Linked DNA regions of Caenorhabditis elegans. The protein of the gene in region 1 interacts with the protein of each later gene in a biochemical or structural test. Each region holds a gene or a part of one and is shown on either strand. Other genes may lie near its edges.

Region 1 (7,242 bases):
GGAACCTTTACAGTACCACCAAGAACAGCTTGAGCCAGAGAAATATCTACGTCACAGTGAATATCATCTTTCTCACGTCGGAATTTCAAAGATGGTGCAACGTTGAAACGAACAAATAATTGATTTTTCCCCACTTGGAACTTCAAACTATCTCCATTATTAGTTCCAGCTGGCACATTGAATGATACTTGACGTCGTTGAACGGTTTGACCTTCACCTTCACATTCTTGACAAGGATTCTGAAGAAAAAATTAAAAGCTACAATAAAAGAAAAATCAATAACTCTACCTTATTATAATGTCCACTTCCTCTGCATCGATTACAAGTTGTTTGATAGAAGAAACCACCCTGAAGACGTTGAGAAACTGCTCCAGTTCCGTTACAATACGGACACGACGTCTTTTTGTGACCTGGTTCAACTTGAGTTCCGTGACATTTCAGACAATCTTCAACTACGTTTACAGAAACATTTTTGGTGGCTCCTCGGACAGCTTCTTCGAACGAAATATCCATAACCATTTCCTGAGCAGCAGAATGTCCGAAAGCACTTTGGGCAAAATTATCAAAATTAAAGCCACCCTGGAATCAGCGAAAAAATAAATAAAACTGTAGTTTTTATTAATTACAATAAAAATTATATAATTAATATAATATTCAGAAGAATTCATAAGGAGAACTCACCATTCCACCCCCTCCACCAAATGCTCTTCTGAAAATTTCGTTAACATCAACATTTCCATGGTGGTGGAAACCTCCAGCACCACCTCTTCCACCAGCTGGGCCACCTCCGCTTCCGTATGCATCATATTCTTGACGTTTTGTGTCATCGGAAAGTACCTTAATATTTTTGATTCGAGCCTGCTCTATTGTTTGTTGAAAATACCTCATATGCTTCAGAAATCTCTTGAAATTTCGTCTGCGCTTCTTTTGTTTTGTTTACATCTGGATGGTATTTCTTGGCAAGCTGAAATAACGTATTTATACTTACAAAGTATTCGATAAAAACTTATATTACCTGGAAATAAGCCTTTTTGATTGCTTTTGCATCAGATTTTTTGTCGACACCCAAAGTCTTATAATAATCTTCTTTGCTTAGTGCATGCGTTGTGTGAAGTTGAGCTGTAACATAATGTTTTAAAAAAGCAGAAAAGAATTGGTTTATCACCAAATGGAGAATTATTAACCTAATTTTGTTGTGGAAGTCGTAGGCGTGGATACTTGAGCTAATAAAGGTACAGATCGATGAATGAGCCCGCTTGAACGGTTTAAGACAAACATTCCGAGTACCCTGAAACAAATTCACATTTTAAAATATAGAACATTCTAAAATAAATAATAAATTAATAAAATTAAAATAAAAAAATAAATGTTTTTTCAAGCTGTCTGCAAACACCGTCACGGTAAAACACACATTTCGGACGGAACATCGGAGCATCGTTTGGATTTTTCAATTTTCAACTTTTTCTCCGCGAATTTCAAAATCCGGCTCTTTTTCGGGAAACAATGCTTATTTACTTTCAACAATAATAAAGCTGGAATGGATGAACCGGATAAGGAGAAAATCACGAAAGTCATCAACGTATGTAGTAAAGAGTCTATAGAAATATGACTTGATGGATTTTCGCTAATTGAAAAAATCAGCTTTTCTGACCAGCAAATAAAATAAAAGAACCACTAAAATGATAATAATATTTACTGAAAGAAAGTAAAAAAAAAATAAATAAAGAAAGTTTGATTGTATTATTTGACAGAAAAAATAATGGTCCTATTTGGACGTCATTGTCACATCATCGCTTCGAGTATCATCGCCCTGCATCGAATTTGTAGAATCCAATGACGATTTGCTTTTCTTCGACCTCTTCAGGATCCTATTCATTGTGTGACCATCGAACTTCATCGACTGCACTTTTGTCCAATTGGCACGGAGTCCAGGGAGGATTCTGTGACTCTTTGTAGTCTTTTTCGATGCCGATGACACTGGACGAGCTGGAAAAATATAAATTTGCATACTTATACGCTTATTTATAACATTTCTTACGCGGAATGAATCTGGCAGCAGGCAGTTCAGTTCTTTGATCATCCATACGTGAGCTCATACTGAAAATGAGATCCATCATGTCTACGGGTTCCTCGTTCTCTTTCTTTTCGATCGCCACTGGTTTCTTCTGGTCGTCAATGATTCCGTTGACAATCATTTCCCAGGTTTCCACATTTGTTGCGTGCTCCAGTTCGACGACGAACTTATTAATCATGTCATTCGAGGATGTCGGATCAGGAGACGAATCAATTGCGAGGCATACATCTTGATCAGTTGCCGTTTCGCTTCTCTCTTGATTCATCGCCACGTCGATCTGCTCGTAGAACAGTTTGAAACTGTTTTGGTTGATGGTCAGAACACTCCCCAAGATGATAAAATAAGCAGCTTGGCGTCTTTTTCCAAGTGCAATGAGGCACTTTGCGATTGTAAGCAACACATCTCCAATGTATTCGTTCAATCCAAGCTTCCGAATCGATACAAGCGCTTCCAATCCGTAGAGATATGCTTCGTGGAATTCGCCATTTCTCAGCATCTCTTCGGATAGCTTCGACTTATATTTGACTACATCTCGCTCTTTTCCGAATTTCGTGGCGTAGAAGAGAGCACTTCTGTGAATAAAGAATTGATATTTTTATTAATCGTTAAAACTAAAAATTACCTGAGATCTCTGATAATAAAGAAAAGAAGATCTGTCTCAGCATATAGAGCCTTGTCGTAATAGGCGATGTGAACTGCTTCAAACTGGTCTGTTTTGATGGCAAAATCGATGCATTCTTGATACTTGCGACGCGATTCCTCGTATTTTTCGTCTAGTGACAAGCATTTCGCCTCAAGTAACATGATTTTGGTCTCAGACACAGCTCCTTCCGTATTATTCTCGTTGAACAATTTCACGGCTGCAATCTGTTCAGCACATATTGACAAAAGCTTCTTCTTCTCATCTTGATTACTCTCGACGTCTCTTTCACATCCTTCGAGGCACACGGAAGCGAACAAAATTCGAGCTTGACCGATATACTTCTCTCCGTTCTTCTTATTGCTGGTGTAATCAATGAGATCCTCAGCAAACCGTCGAGCCTTGGGGAACTTTCCCATTTTGAGTGCCTGCTCGACGATGCGACGTGTGGAATCACATGCTTCTGGGTAGTTGAAGATCAATCTGAAAAATTAAGGTTATAGAATGTCCAGCTCATTTTTGTGATTCACTTACTTGAACATGTTCAACTCATGTTCGAAAAACTCCAAGGCCTTGGCATCATGGTTCAAATGCCTGCACACTCTTCCGTAATACATGTAGATTGTACCAAGTAGTTGAAAATTTGAGGTTCCGAACTCCATTATCTCCTCTAAGCGTCCTTTTCCATCCTCGTATTGTCCCAATCTCATGGCCGTCACCGCGCTTTTCAGCATTGCTTCGGCGACTTCATCCTTGGGACCATCGTAATAAGAGACGTCCATTCGTTTTGCGAATGTGGAAACTTCTGAAATGAATCGAAAATTGCAAGCAAAAATAAAAGAAATAGAGGAATTTTACGGAAACAGGCAAAACATTCCCGCGATCTCCACGAATACACGAAATATTTAAAACGGGGAAAGTTTCTTCAAATATCTCACGAGGTTTAATAGACTATTGCACATTTTGTTATAAATTTTACAAATCTTCAATAAAACAACCGCTGACAAACAAATAAACTTGAAAAATGACTCGAGAATCTCGAGACAGATCTGTGGGGAAGTGAAAATTGGCGGTTAACGCGTAGTTTTTTCTCGCGCACTCAACTTCTAATTTGGCGCCGCTTTCTGATATGTCGTCAAATGTGTTGCCGATGTACGTAAGTACACCATTACGCGCATTTGCACACTCACAATCAGTGGAGTTTCTCCGCGAATTTCAAAATCCGGCTCTTTTTCGTGAAAAATGCTGACTTTCAACGATAATAAAGCTGGAATGAATGGACTGGATAAGGAGAAAATCACGAAAGTCATCGAAGAAAACACATCAGCGTCCTACTCGTCGTTTTCCAAAAAACAACAATCAAGAATTGAAGAGAAAGTTTTAGAAATCAAAAATCGTTTGCAAACAGCAACCAGAGAAGAAAGACAAAAATCTGAGATACTGGTATGTATTTTAAAAGCTAATAAATTTACTTAGAGCAAATTTCCAATTTTCAGATGGAGAATCTTGAGATGAAACTGGAATCATCTAGAGATTTATCAAGAGACTGTGTTTGTATAGATATGGATGCTTATTTTGCCGCAGTTGAAATGAGAGATAATCCTGCACTGAGAACAGTTCCTATGGCCGTAGGCTCATCGGCAATGCTGGTAAGCACCTAACTCAATTTGAAAAGTAAATTTTCGATTTCGGAAAAGCTTTAAATCTATTCTTTCAGAGCACATCCAACTACTTGGCTCGCCGTTTTGGAGTCCGTGCTGGAATGCCTGGCTTCATCTCAAATAAACTTTGTCCGAGTCTAACGATTGTTCCAGGAAATTACCCTAAATACACTAAAGTCAGTCGCCAATTTTCACAAATTTTCATGGAATACGATTCGGATGTTGGAATGATGTCATTGGATGAGGCATTTATAGATTTGACAGACTATGTGGCAAGTAATACAGAAAAAAGTTAGTGATTTAGATTTGATTATTAACAAAAAACTATTTGCTTACTAGAAACCTTCAAGCGTCACAGATTCGGCGGAGATTGTCCATGTTGGTTACCCCGTTTCGACGAGAATGAAAATACTTTGGAAGACTTGAAAATCGAAGAATCGATCTGTCCAAAATGCGAAAAATCGCGGAAAATCTACTACGACCATGTGGAGTTCGGAACTGGACGAGAGGAGGCTGTTCGAGAAATTCGATTTCGAGTTGAACAACTCACGGGATTAACATGTTCTGCTGGAATCGCATCTAACTTTATGCTCGCTAAGATTTGTTCTGATTTGAACAAACCAAATGGTCAATATGTGTTAGAAAATGATAAAAACGCGATTATGGAGTTTTTGAAGGATTTACCGATTCGTAAGGTGAGACTATTAAAGCATAACCTTCTAGTTTTACCTAGATAATTTTTTAGGTTGGAGGAATTGGTCGTGTATGCGAAGCTCAACTGAAAGCAATGGATATTCAAACTGTTGGTGATATGAATCTGAAGAAGAACCTATACCCTTTGTGTTTCACGCCTCTCTCACAAGAATCTTTCCTTCGAACGGCTCTCGGACTGCCAGGTCGTCCATCTGAATCGGATCCACGAAGAAAAAGCATTTCAGTTGAGAGAACTTTTTCTCCAACTTCGGATTTCAACATCCTCCTAGAAGAGCATCAAGAAATCTGTAGAATGCTTGAAGAAGATGTTCGTAAATCAGGAATTGTCGGAGGAAAAACTGTAACTCTAAAATTAAAATTATCTTCATTCGATGTTCTCACAAGATCGTTGACACCTTCTGATGTGGTGAAGTCACTTGAAGATATTCAAAAGTTCTCACTGGAGTTGTTGGAAAAAGAAAAAGGAAAAGAAATTCGATTGTTAGGAGTCAGATTATCACAATTGATATTTGAAGAAGATGAGAAAAAAAGAAGCAAAACGGTATGTCAGAAAATTTTGAAAACCATAACTGATAAATATAAAGCAATGTTTTCTTCTATTTTTTTGAGACATTTTATTTCAGATCACAGAGTTTTGGAATGAGAAAAAACTTCAAATTCAAAATCTACAAGGATCGGAAAACGTCGACGATGATGATGTCATAATGATGGATACTCGTCCTTGTCCCATTTGTGGAACTGATGTCGAAAATCGTTTAGACGTTATGAACTGCCACGTCGATGAGTGTATTCTGAAAGTGCAAAACGATGACGGACCCGAGTTAATTTGCGTTTCTGTGGAAAATAAATCAACGCAGAAACCAGAAAGACCTTCTACGAAAAAGCGAAAACTTCAAGAGAAGAGACCAAAAGCGAAGAAAATGGTGACAATCGACTCATTTTGGAAGAAAAGTGGTTAAAAAGAATATAATTCTAACTGTTACTAACTGTGATTAATCTATACATCCCCTTCTAATTTTTGTTATCCATGTGTATATTGTCATGAATCGTTTGAATGAAAATCAACTTTATTCAAAAAAGAAAAACAATGAAAAGTCATGAGATAATTCATATAGCATTGAAGAGGAGACACGTGTGTGGAGGAAATTTTGATTTTTTTGGAGAACTGAATGTTGAGGTATTTCGATTTCAAATAAGATCTGGTCGAGAGAAAAAGTTAAACGAAAAAAAATGAATGGAGGAAGACTAGTTGGCTAGAGGAGAATATCACTAATTTGATAAAGTAACTAGAAAGTTATTACCGGGATACTTTAGGATTACGGTAGACAAGGCCTACCGTAACCGCCTAACAAAAATCAATATTTCATGGCATGTAAGCTCGAGCCTGAACCTTTGCCAACTGAGCCATAAGTTGATATCCTCCATGAATTGACGGATGATTATGAGGATTTGGAGTGACGGAGGAGCATCGATCTCTTGGAACAGAAGATGTCGACTTTTTGAGTTTGGCACGCTTGTTCTGAAATTAATATTTTTTTAAATTTGTTATTTGGAATTTAAGAAGTTTTAGAAGTTCGGGTGGTTTTAATTTACCAACTTTCCAATGACATAGACTTCTAAAGATGATAATTTCGCCATGTCTTACGCGCAAGGTCTCGCTACGCGGACAACGAATTACTGTAAAATCTAAGGGCCTCTGATAGTGTTTACACGTATTTTTAAAATTTTCATTAATATTAAAATTGAATAATATGCTGCAATTGTTGATCGACACGAGTTACTGTTATCCGCTTTCCGCGTGGCAATACCACCGCGCGTAAGTTATGGCAAAAGTACACAGAGGTAATATACATATGCCTTCGTGGAAGTCCTATTTGAAATCTATTCAGTGAATATTCAAATTTCAAATGTTCGTCTTCAAATTGTCCCATGTCATTTCAATTCTTCTCTCTCCCCTAATAAAATGTGATGGTTATCTTACCCCATACAAGGTGTCGGTATGTCGCGTGCCGTTTTTTGACTTGAAACAAAAACTCATTGACAGGAGACAAAAGGGAAACGTGTTTTTTGAGTGAATAAGTGTGACAATAAAAAAAAAACGACTAATTACCTTTTCGGACAAGACCACCCTGTGTGTTTAAAAGTATCACCTA
Region 2 (7,560 bases), on another chromosome or scaffold:
AAAATAAAATAGATTAATTCAAAAATGTGCAAGTCCATCGAACAAATCAAATTGGCGGTAACTCAAATAGGAATTAGGGGGGAAAACTGAAATTTGTCCAATTTTCAAAAAATCATATAAAATCGCGGAAAATTTTTCTGAATTTTTTCACATCGATATTCGGGTACAGGGGAAAATTTAGAGTCATTTAAAAATATTTCCCAGAAATTTTTTTTTCGAATTTTTGACAAAAATTGTTTTTTTTTGGTAAAACTATTTTTGTGTGGGAATAAGAGTCAGAAATAGCCAAAAAATTAAATATTTCTGAATTTTCCCGGATTTTGAGGGAAAAAAAGCTATTTTCTAGCGGAAAAGGGGCTCCAAAATTTTTTTTTTAGAATTTTTAGCGGTTTTTGAAAGTGTGAGCAAAAAATAATTCGATTGATTATTTTAAAATATTTTTTTTTTTGGAATTTTAAATTTTAATTAGCTCTAATAGATAATTTTCAACGAATATCAACGAATTTTTCATCGAAAAAAGCGGTAATTTTCAGCGAATATGACCTAAAAAATCGATTTCATTGAATTTTTCATGGAAAAAACGCGAAAAATGCTCAAAAATAGTCCAAAATCGCAATTTTCTGGGATTTTAACGATTTTTTCATGGAAATAAGCTAATTTCCACCGAAATTTCTCGATTTTCAGCGAAAATCCCTCGAATTTTCTCAATTTTCAGCGAAATTTCGCCACCTTTCGAGCGCTTTCTGAATTCCCGAATCGGACCAAACACTCTTCATGAGCACGACGAGCTCTTCGGGCAGCTCATCCTCTTCGCCTGTTGTGCTGAACATTAGAAGCTTTCGGGCATCTGATTCGTGATCGAGTGTGGTGAAGCTGATTTTTAACTGCTCCATAGCGTGGATGATGGCGTTGAGAGACTGGAAAATTGGACGGTTTTGGGGTGAAATTCGAGGGAATTTTTGGGTTAAAATTTGGGGGTTTTTTGGTTAGAAATTGAACATTTTAAGCTGAAATTGGGGAAAATTGGTGTAATTTTTTTGGCCAAAATTAGGGATTTTTCGCCTAATATTTTAGATTTTTTTTGGAAAAAAAAGAGCATTTTTGGCTATAATTTGGTAAATTTTGTGCTGGAATTAGAGTTTTTTTTTGTCAAAAACAGAGCATTTTGGAGTAAATTCGGTGAATTTTTTGGGAAAAATTAGGGATTTTTTACCTAATATTCTAGAATTTTTGGTAAAAAACAGAGCATTTTTGGCTATAATTTGTTTAATTTTTTGGACAAATTTAGGGATTTTCTCTTAATATTCTATTTTTTTGGTAAAAAACAGTGAATTTTTGGCTATGATTTGGTGAAGTTTCTGCTGAAATTAGAGTTTTTTTTGTCAAAAATCGGTGAATTTTTGGACAAAATTAGGGATTTTTCGCCTAATATTTTAGATTTTTTTTGGAAAAAAAAGAGCATTTTTGGCTATAATTTGGTAAATTTTGTGCTGGAATTAGAGTTTTTTTTTGTCAAAAACAGAGCATTTTGGAGTAAATTCGGTGAATTTTTTGGGAAAAATTAGGGATTTTTTACCTAATATTCTAGAATTTTTGGTAAAAAACAGAGCATTTTTGGCTATAATTTGTTTAATTTTTTGGACAAATTTAGGGATTTTCTCTTAATATTCTATTTTTTTGGTAAAAAACAGTGAATTTTTGGCTATGATTTGGTGAAGTTTCTGCTGAAATTAGAGTTTTTTTTGTCAAAAATCGGTGAATTTTTGGACAAAATTAGGGATTTTTCGCCTAATATTCTAGATTTTTTTTGAATTTTTGAGTAAATTTGGTGAACTTTTTGCTGAATATGGCAGGTTTTTTTAGTCGAAAATTGGAGAATTTTGAACAAAATTGGCAAATTTTTCGGCCAAAATTAGGGATTTTTTGGCCAAAATTTGTGAATTTTCTCCTAATATTGTAGGTTTTTTTTTTGTGAAAAACAGACAATTTTTGAGTAAATTTTGTGAATTTTTTGTTGGAATTGGAGTTTCTTTTGTCAAAAATTGGTGATTTTTTAGCCGAAATTAGTGATTTTTCGCCTAATATTTTAGATTTTTTTGGTAAAAATCAGAGAGTTTTAAGCTGAAATTGGAGGTTTTTTTTGTCAAAAATCGGTGAATTTTTAGCCAAAATTAGGCATTTTTCACCTAATATTCTAGATTTTTTGGTTAAAAAGAGAGAATTTTTGAGTAAAAATGGAGAATTTTGGGCCAAAATTAGGGATTTTTTGAATAATTTTTTAGACTTTTTTGGTTAAAATTTGGTGGATATTGGGTAAAATTGAAGAATTTTGAACAAAAATCGGTGAATTTTTGACCAAAATTAGGTTATTTTCGCCTGATATTTTATAGATTTTTCTGTTAAAATTTGGCAAAAAAATTGGTGAATTTTCAACAAAAAATAGGAGAATTTTTGGTAAAAATTAGAGTTTTTGGGCGAAATTGGGTAATTTTTGGTTTAATTGTGTAATTTATGCATTTTTTAGCCAAAAAAGGGAGAATTTTGAGCAAATTCGGTGAATTTTTTTGTCAAAAATTGGAGAATCTTAAACGAAAATTGGTGAATTTTTTGGCTAAAAATAGCGAATTTTTTGGCTAAAATTAACGGATTTTTTGGCTAAAAATAGCGAATTTTTTGGCTAAAAATAGCGAATTTTTTGGCTAAAATTAACGGATTTTTTGGCTAAAAATAGCGAATTTTTTGGCTAAAATTAACGGATTTTTTGGCTAAAAATAGCGAATTTTTTGGCTAAAATTAACGGATTTTTTGGCTAAAAATAGCGAATTTTTTGGCTAAAATTAACGGATTTTTTGGTTAAAATAGCGGATTTTTTGGTTAAAATAGCGGATTTTTTGACTAAAATTAACGGATTTTTTGCCTAAAATTAACGGATTTTTTGGCTAAAAATAGCGAAATTTTTGGCTAAAATTAACGGATTTTTTGGCTAAAAATAGCGATTTTTTGGCTAAAAATAGCGAATTTTTTGACTAAAATCAACGGATTTTTTGGTTAAAATAGCGAATTTTTTGGCTAAAATTAGCCGATTTTTGATTAAAATTAACGGATTTTTTGGTTAAAATCCACGAATTTTGGTCAAAATTGCCAATTTCCTGTCATTTTTCAGTGCATCGGAGCACTGACCAAAATAATATTTCCATAAACGACGCCTCTGAACACTTTTCTCTCTTCAGTCGTATATCCGACGTCGTGAATGATACGCATCTGCTTTAAAATCGTCGATTTTCCAGACTCGCCGGCTCCCAGGAGCAGAAGCTTGATGGTTCGCATTGAGTTCTCGCCGTCTTCTTTGAGCTGCAAAAAAATTTGGGATTTTTAGCCAATTTTTCAGGGTTTTTTTTTCCAAAAAAAAACAACAATTTTATTGATTTTCAGGCAATTTTTGAATTTTTTTGAAATAAAAATCTAGTTTTTAATGCAAATTTTGGGATTTTTGGACTTTTTATAAGCGAAAAACTGTTTTTCGTGGTTTTTATTGATAATTTTTCAGGTTTTCTACAAAAAAAAAAACTTTTTTTAAATTGATTTTTAGGCTATTTTACAGTTTTTCCAGAAAAAAAACCGATTTTTTATTGCTTTTTAGGTAATTTTTCAGATTTTCTAGATAAAAACCAATTTTTTGATAATTTTTCAGGTTTTCTCACACAAAAATCGATTTTTTGTTGATTTTTTGGCAGTTTTTCAGATTTTCTATTTAAAAAATCCAATTTTTTATAGATTTTTAGACAATTTTTCAGGGTTTTTCCCAAAAAACCGATTTTTTATTGATTTTTTTCGTAATTTTTCAAATTTTCTCCCAAAAAATCGATTTTTATTAATTTTTTAGACTATTTTTCAGATTTTCTACAAAAAAAACTGATTTTGAGTAGATTTTTAGACAGTTTTCCAGATTTTTTAAGAAAAAAAATCCGATTTTTTTATTGATTTTTATGAACTTTTTGAATTTTTTAAAAATAAAAATCTAGTTTTCACTGCAAATTTTGCGATTTTTTGAGGTTTTCGAGCAAAAATTCTAGTTTTTAGTGAAATTTTTCGGTTTTTGAAGCAGTTTTGATGATTTTTCTATATTTTTTCACAAAAAATCGAGTTTTTTCAACGAAAAATCCCCAATTTTTACCAATCGATCAATCTTCTTGGATCTTCGTTTCGCTGCTTCATCCTCCTGGCTCATAATACACCCCATTGCGCTGAAAAAAAAGGGAATTTTATGTGAATAATATCGGCGATTTTAGGTGAAGAAAGTTGAGAAAAATGTAAAATTCTGTAGAAAATGGCTAAAAAATGGGGTTTTTTCGGCTTTTTTCAGAATATTTTAAGGTTTTTGGGCAATTTTTATTGAAAAATTGACGATTTTTGTCAATTTTTGCAATATAAGAGCTCAGAAATGCTCATTTTTGTCGAATTTTTAGGTGAAAAACGTCAAATTTCAAGGAAAAACCTCAAAAAACATGCCATTTTACTCAAAATTCGAAATTTGTCAGTTATTACAAGATTTTTAGCGTTTTTTTTTTCGGAAAAATGCTCTAAAATTTAAAATTTTTATTATTTTTCAGCGAAAATGCTCTAAAAATTCAAGATTTTTAGTATTTTTTCAGAAAAATGCACTAAAAATTGAGATTTTTAGCATTTTTCCGAAAAAAATGCTCTGAAATTCAAGATTTTAAGCATTTTTTCGAGAAAAATGCTCTAAAATTTAAGATTTTTAGCATTTTTCATTAAGAATGCTCTGAAATTCAAGATTTTAAGCATTTTTTCTGGAAAATGCTCTAAAATTTAAGATTTTTAGCATTTTTCCGGGAAAATGCACTAAAAATTGAGATTTTTAGCATTTTTTCTGGAAAAATGCACTAAAATTCAAGATTTTTAGCATTTTTTCCGGAAAAATGAGAATTTTTCGCTGAAAAATGTCAAATTTCACTCAAAATTCGATATTTTTCAGACTTTGAGGTTATTTTTTCTTAAATACAAAATGAAAATGTCGAATTTGAAATAAAATGATCTAAAATTTAAGATTTTTAGCATTTTTTCAACAAAAAAGCTATAAAAATTAAGATTTTTAGCTTTTCTCGGGAAAAATGCTAAAAATCTTAAATTTTAAAGCATTTTATTTCAAATTCGACATTTTCATTTTGAATTTTTTTTCCGCTAAGCACTAAAATTCAAGATTATTAGCATTTTTCCGGCAAAAATGCACTAAAAATTGAGAATTTTTCGCTGAAAAACGTCAAATTTCACTCAAAATTCACATTTTCAAGGCTTTTAGGTTAATTTTGGGGGAATTTTTTTCTCAAAAACTAAATGAAAAATGATAAATTTAAAATAAAAGGCTCCCAGAAAAAAGATATATATTGCTCGTCATATCGGATGCCGCAGACGCGCAGAGAAGTGCTTTACACAAACAATTGCAACATTTTTGTGTTTTTCTCTGCGCAGGGGCTTCGAGTTAATCGAAAATACATGATTAATTGGGAAAACTGGCACAAAAATTGGCCATTTTTAATGAAATTCGGCAATTTTCGCGATGAAAAATGCATTGAAAATGATGTTTTCCGCGAATTTTCGCTTTTTTCCCGCCGTATTTGTTTCTTGTTTCTTGTGAAGTGGAGGGGGCAAAAGCATGGGAAAACTCTGAAAGTTTAAACTAGTTTGAGCATCTTTTAGTGCGAAAAAGGCGTTAAAGAAGGGATTTTCAAACATTTTTCCGAAAAAAATGCTAAAAAACTTAGATTTTAGAGCATTTTTCTTGCAAAAAAATGATTAAAATCTTGCATTTTAGTGAATTTTTCTGAAAAAAAGGGCTAAAAATCTTAAATTTTAGAGCATTTTTCTGAAAAATTGCTAATAATCTAAAATTTTAGTGCATTTTTCCGAAAAAATGCTAAAAATCTGACGGTTTCTGTGCAATATTTATTGAAAAATTGGCGATTTTCATCAACTTTTGCGACAAAAGAGCTCAGAAATGCTTATTTTTGTAGAATTTTTCAGTGAAAAACGTCAAATTTCAAGGAAAACTACACATATTTGATGTAAAACCTCGGAAAACATGCAATATTACAACAAATTCGAATTTTTTCAGTCTTTGCAAGATTTTTAGCATTTTTTCCGCAAAAATGCTAAGAATCTTAATTTTAGTGCATTTTTTGTGAAAAAATGCTAAAAATCTGCAATTTTAAAACATTTTTTTCGGAAAAAAATGCTAAAAATCTTAAATTTTAGAGCATTTTTCCGAAAAAATTGCAAAAAAACGGATAATTTTCAAGAACTTCTGGGATAAAATCGAAAAAATTGATCAAAAATTAAAAAAAAATCAATCGTGGAACAGGATTTACGAGCTACCGTACTTCAATTCGTCTCTTCCGTGCGAGACCCGCGCATGGTTCCCAAGCGTGTACTCCTCTCGGACATTGATTTTTATCGAAATTTTTTGTTTTTGATTTTTAATCATTTCAACTTCGAAATGGCTAGTTCTGTGACAACTTCTTTGAATTTTTCAAATTTGGAAAGCCCAAAATCGAATTCTTCGTCTCTTTTCGAAGATTCGCTGTTCAGGTTGGTGGAAAAATTCGGTGAAAAAAAAGATTTTGCGACAAAAAAAAAAAGGAAAAACAGCAGTTTCAGATGGAAAAGAACGCCGGAAAGAGCACCATCGAACAACGAGCTCGTCGAGCACGGCGATCTGGAGAATTTCGAGTACTCTGAACCGTTTGTCATCAAATTTCACAACATTTGCAAGGGTGGCGGCGAGCGGGTGAATGGGCAGCCAAAAATGGACGTCGCGTGCCAGTTGGATGGTGATTAAAAGAGCTGTAAACCCTGGCAATTCTAAAGTGTTTGCTCTCTCAGATTTCATCGAAGTGCCCATAAAGGATGCTGAAAATTGTTTGGAATGTATGACTGATGATCGAATTCTGCTGGATTCTGTTGAAATCGAAGTCAAAATTTGCACGACGACCTGCAAACTCGCTATTGAAGTAGGGAAAATGCCAAAAAAAAACGAAAAAAAGCGCACATTTGGTGCATTTTTGACAAAAAATCGAGAGATTTTGGTTAAAATTGGCGAAAATTCGCTATTTTTGTAGTAAAAATAACGGATTTTCCGGTTAAAATTCACGAATTTTTTGACTAAAAATAACAGATTTTTTGGCTAAAATTTACGGATTTTTTGGCTAAAAATAACTAATTGTTTGGCTAAAATCAACGGATTTTTGGCTAAAATTAACAGTTTTTTGGCTAAAAATAGCGAATTTTTTGGCTAAAATTAACGGATTTTTTGGCTAAAAATAGCGAATTTTTTTGCTAAAATTAGCAATTTTTGGCTAAAATTAATGGATTTTTTGGCTAAAAATATCGAATTTTTGGCTAAAATTAACGGTTCTTTGCCTAAAATTAACGGATTTTTTTTGCTAAAAATATCGAATTTTTGGCTAAAATTAACGGATTTTTGGCTAAAATTAACGGATTTTTGGCTAAAATTAACGGATTCTTTTTGCTAAAAATATCGAA

The links. Proteins that work in one complex are often made in the same cells at the same time.
Region 2: of the proteins of gpr-1 (region 1) and gpa-16, one has a biochemical effect on the other in vitro, tested with the Caenorhabditis elegans proteins (one study listed by BioGRID).

What each region holds. Positions count from the first base shown.
Region 1 is NC_003281.10:8,625,211-8,632,452, reverse strand, and holds gpr-1 (G-protein regulator 1), read right to left. Parts: upstream 3,528-7,242; 5' UTR 3,497-3,527; coding exon 3,249-3,496; intron 3,198-3,248; coding exon 2,697-3,197; intron 2,647-2,696; coding exon 2,039-2,646; intron 1,987-2,038; coding exon 1,766-1,986; 3' UTR 1,677-1,765; downstream 1-1,676. Other genes in the region: DnaJ homolog dnj-10, read right to left, coding at 1-239, 289-579, 682-837, 884-964, 1,016-1,119, 1,185-1,278; polk-1 (DNA polymerase kappa), read left to right, coding at 3,957-4,157, 4,211-4,363, 4,432-4,666, 4,715-5,070, 5,121-5,630, 5,713-6,048; Homeobox protein engrailed-like ceh-16, read right to left, coding at 6,453-6,608. UniProt on the Caenorhabditis elegans protein: In the 1-cell embryo, probably together with gpr-2, controls nuclear rotation and spindle elongation during mitosis. Complex of gpr-1 and gpr-2, in association with lin-5, activates G-protein signaling to affect mitotic spindle force.
Region 2 is NC_003279.8:893,970-901,529, reverse strand, and holds the start of gpa-16 (Guanine nucleotide-binding protein alpha-16 subunit), read right to left. Parts: upstream 4,245-7,560; 5' UTR 4,241-4,244; coding exon 4,175-4,240; intron 3,352-4,174; coding exon 3,181-3,351; intron 918-3,180; coding exon 730-917; intron 1-729. Other genes in the region: him-19 (FBD domain-containing protein), read left to right, coding at 6,431-6,606, 6,667-6,848, 6,901-7,028. UniProt on the Caenorhabditis elegans protein: Guanine nucleotide-binding proteins (G proteins) are involved as modulators or transducers in various transmembrane signaling systems. In the 1-cell embryo, probably together with goa-1, controls nuclear rotation and spindle elongation during mitosis.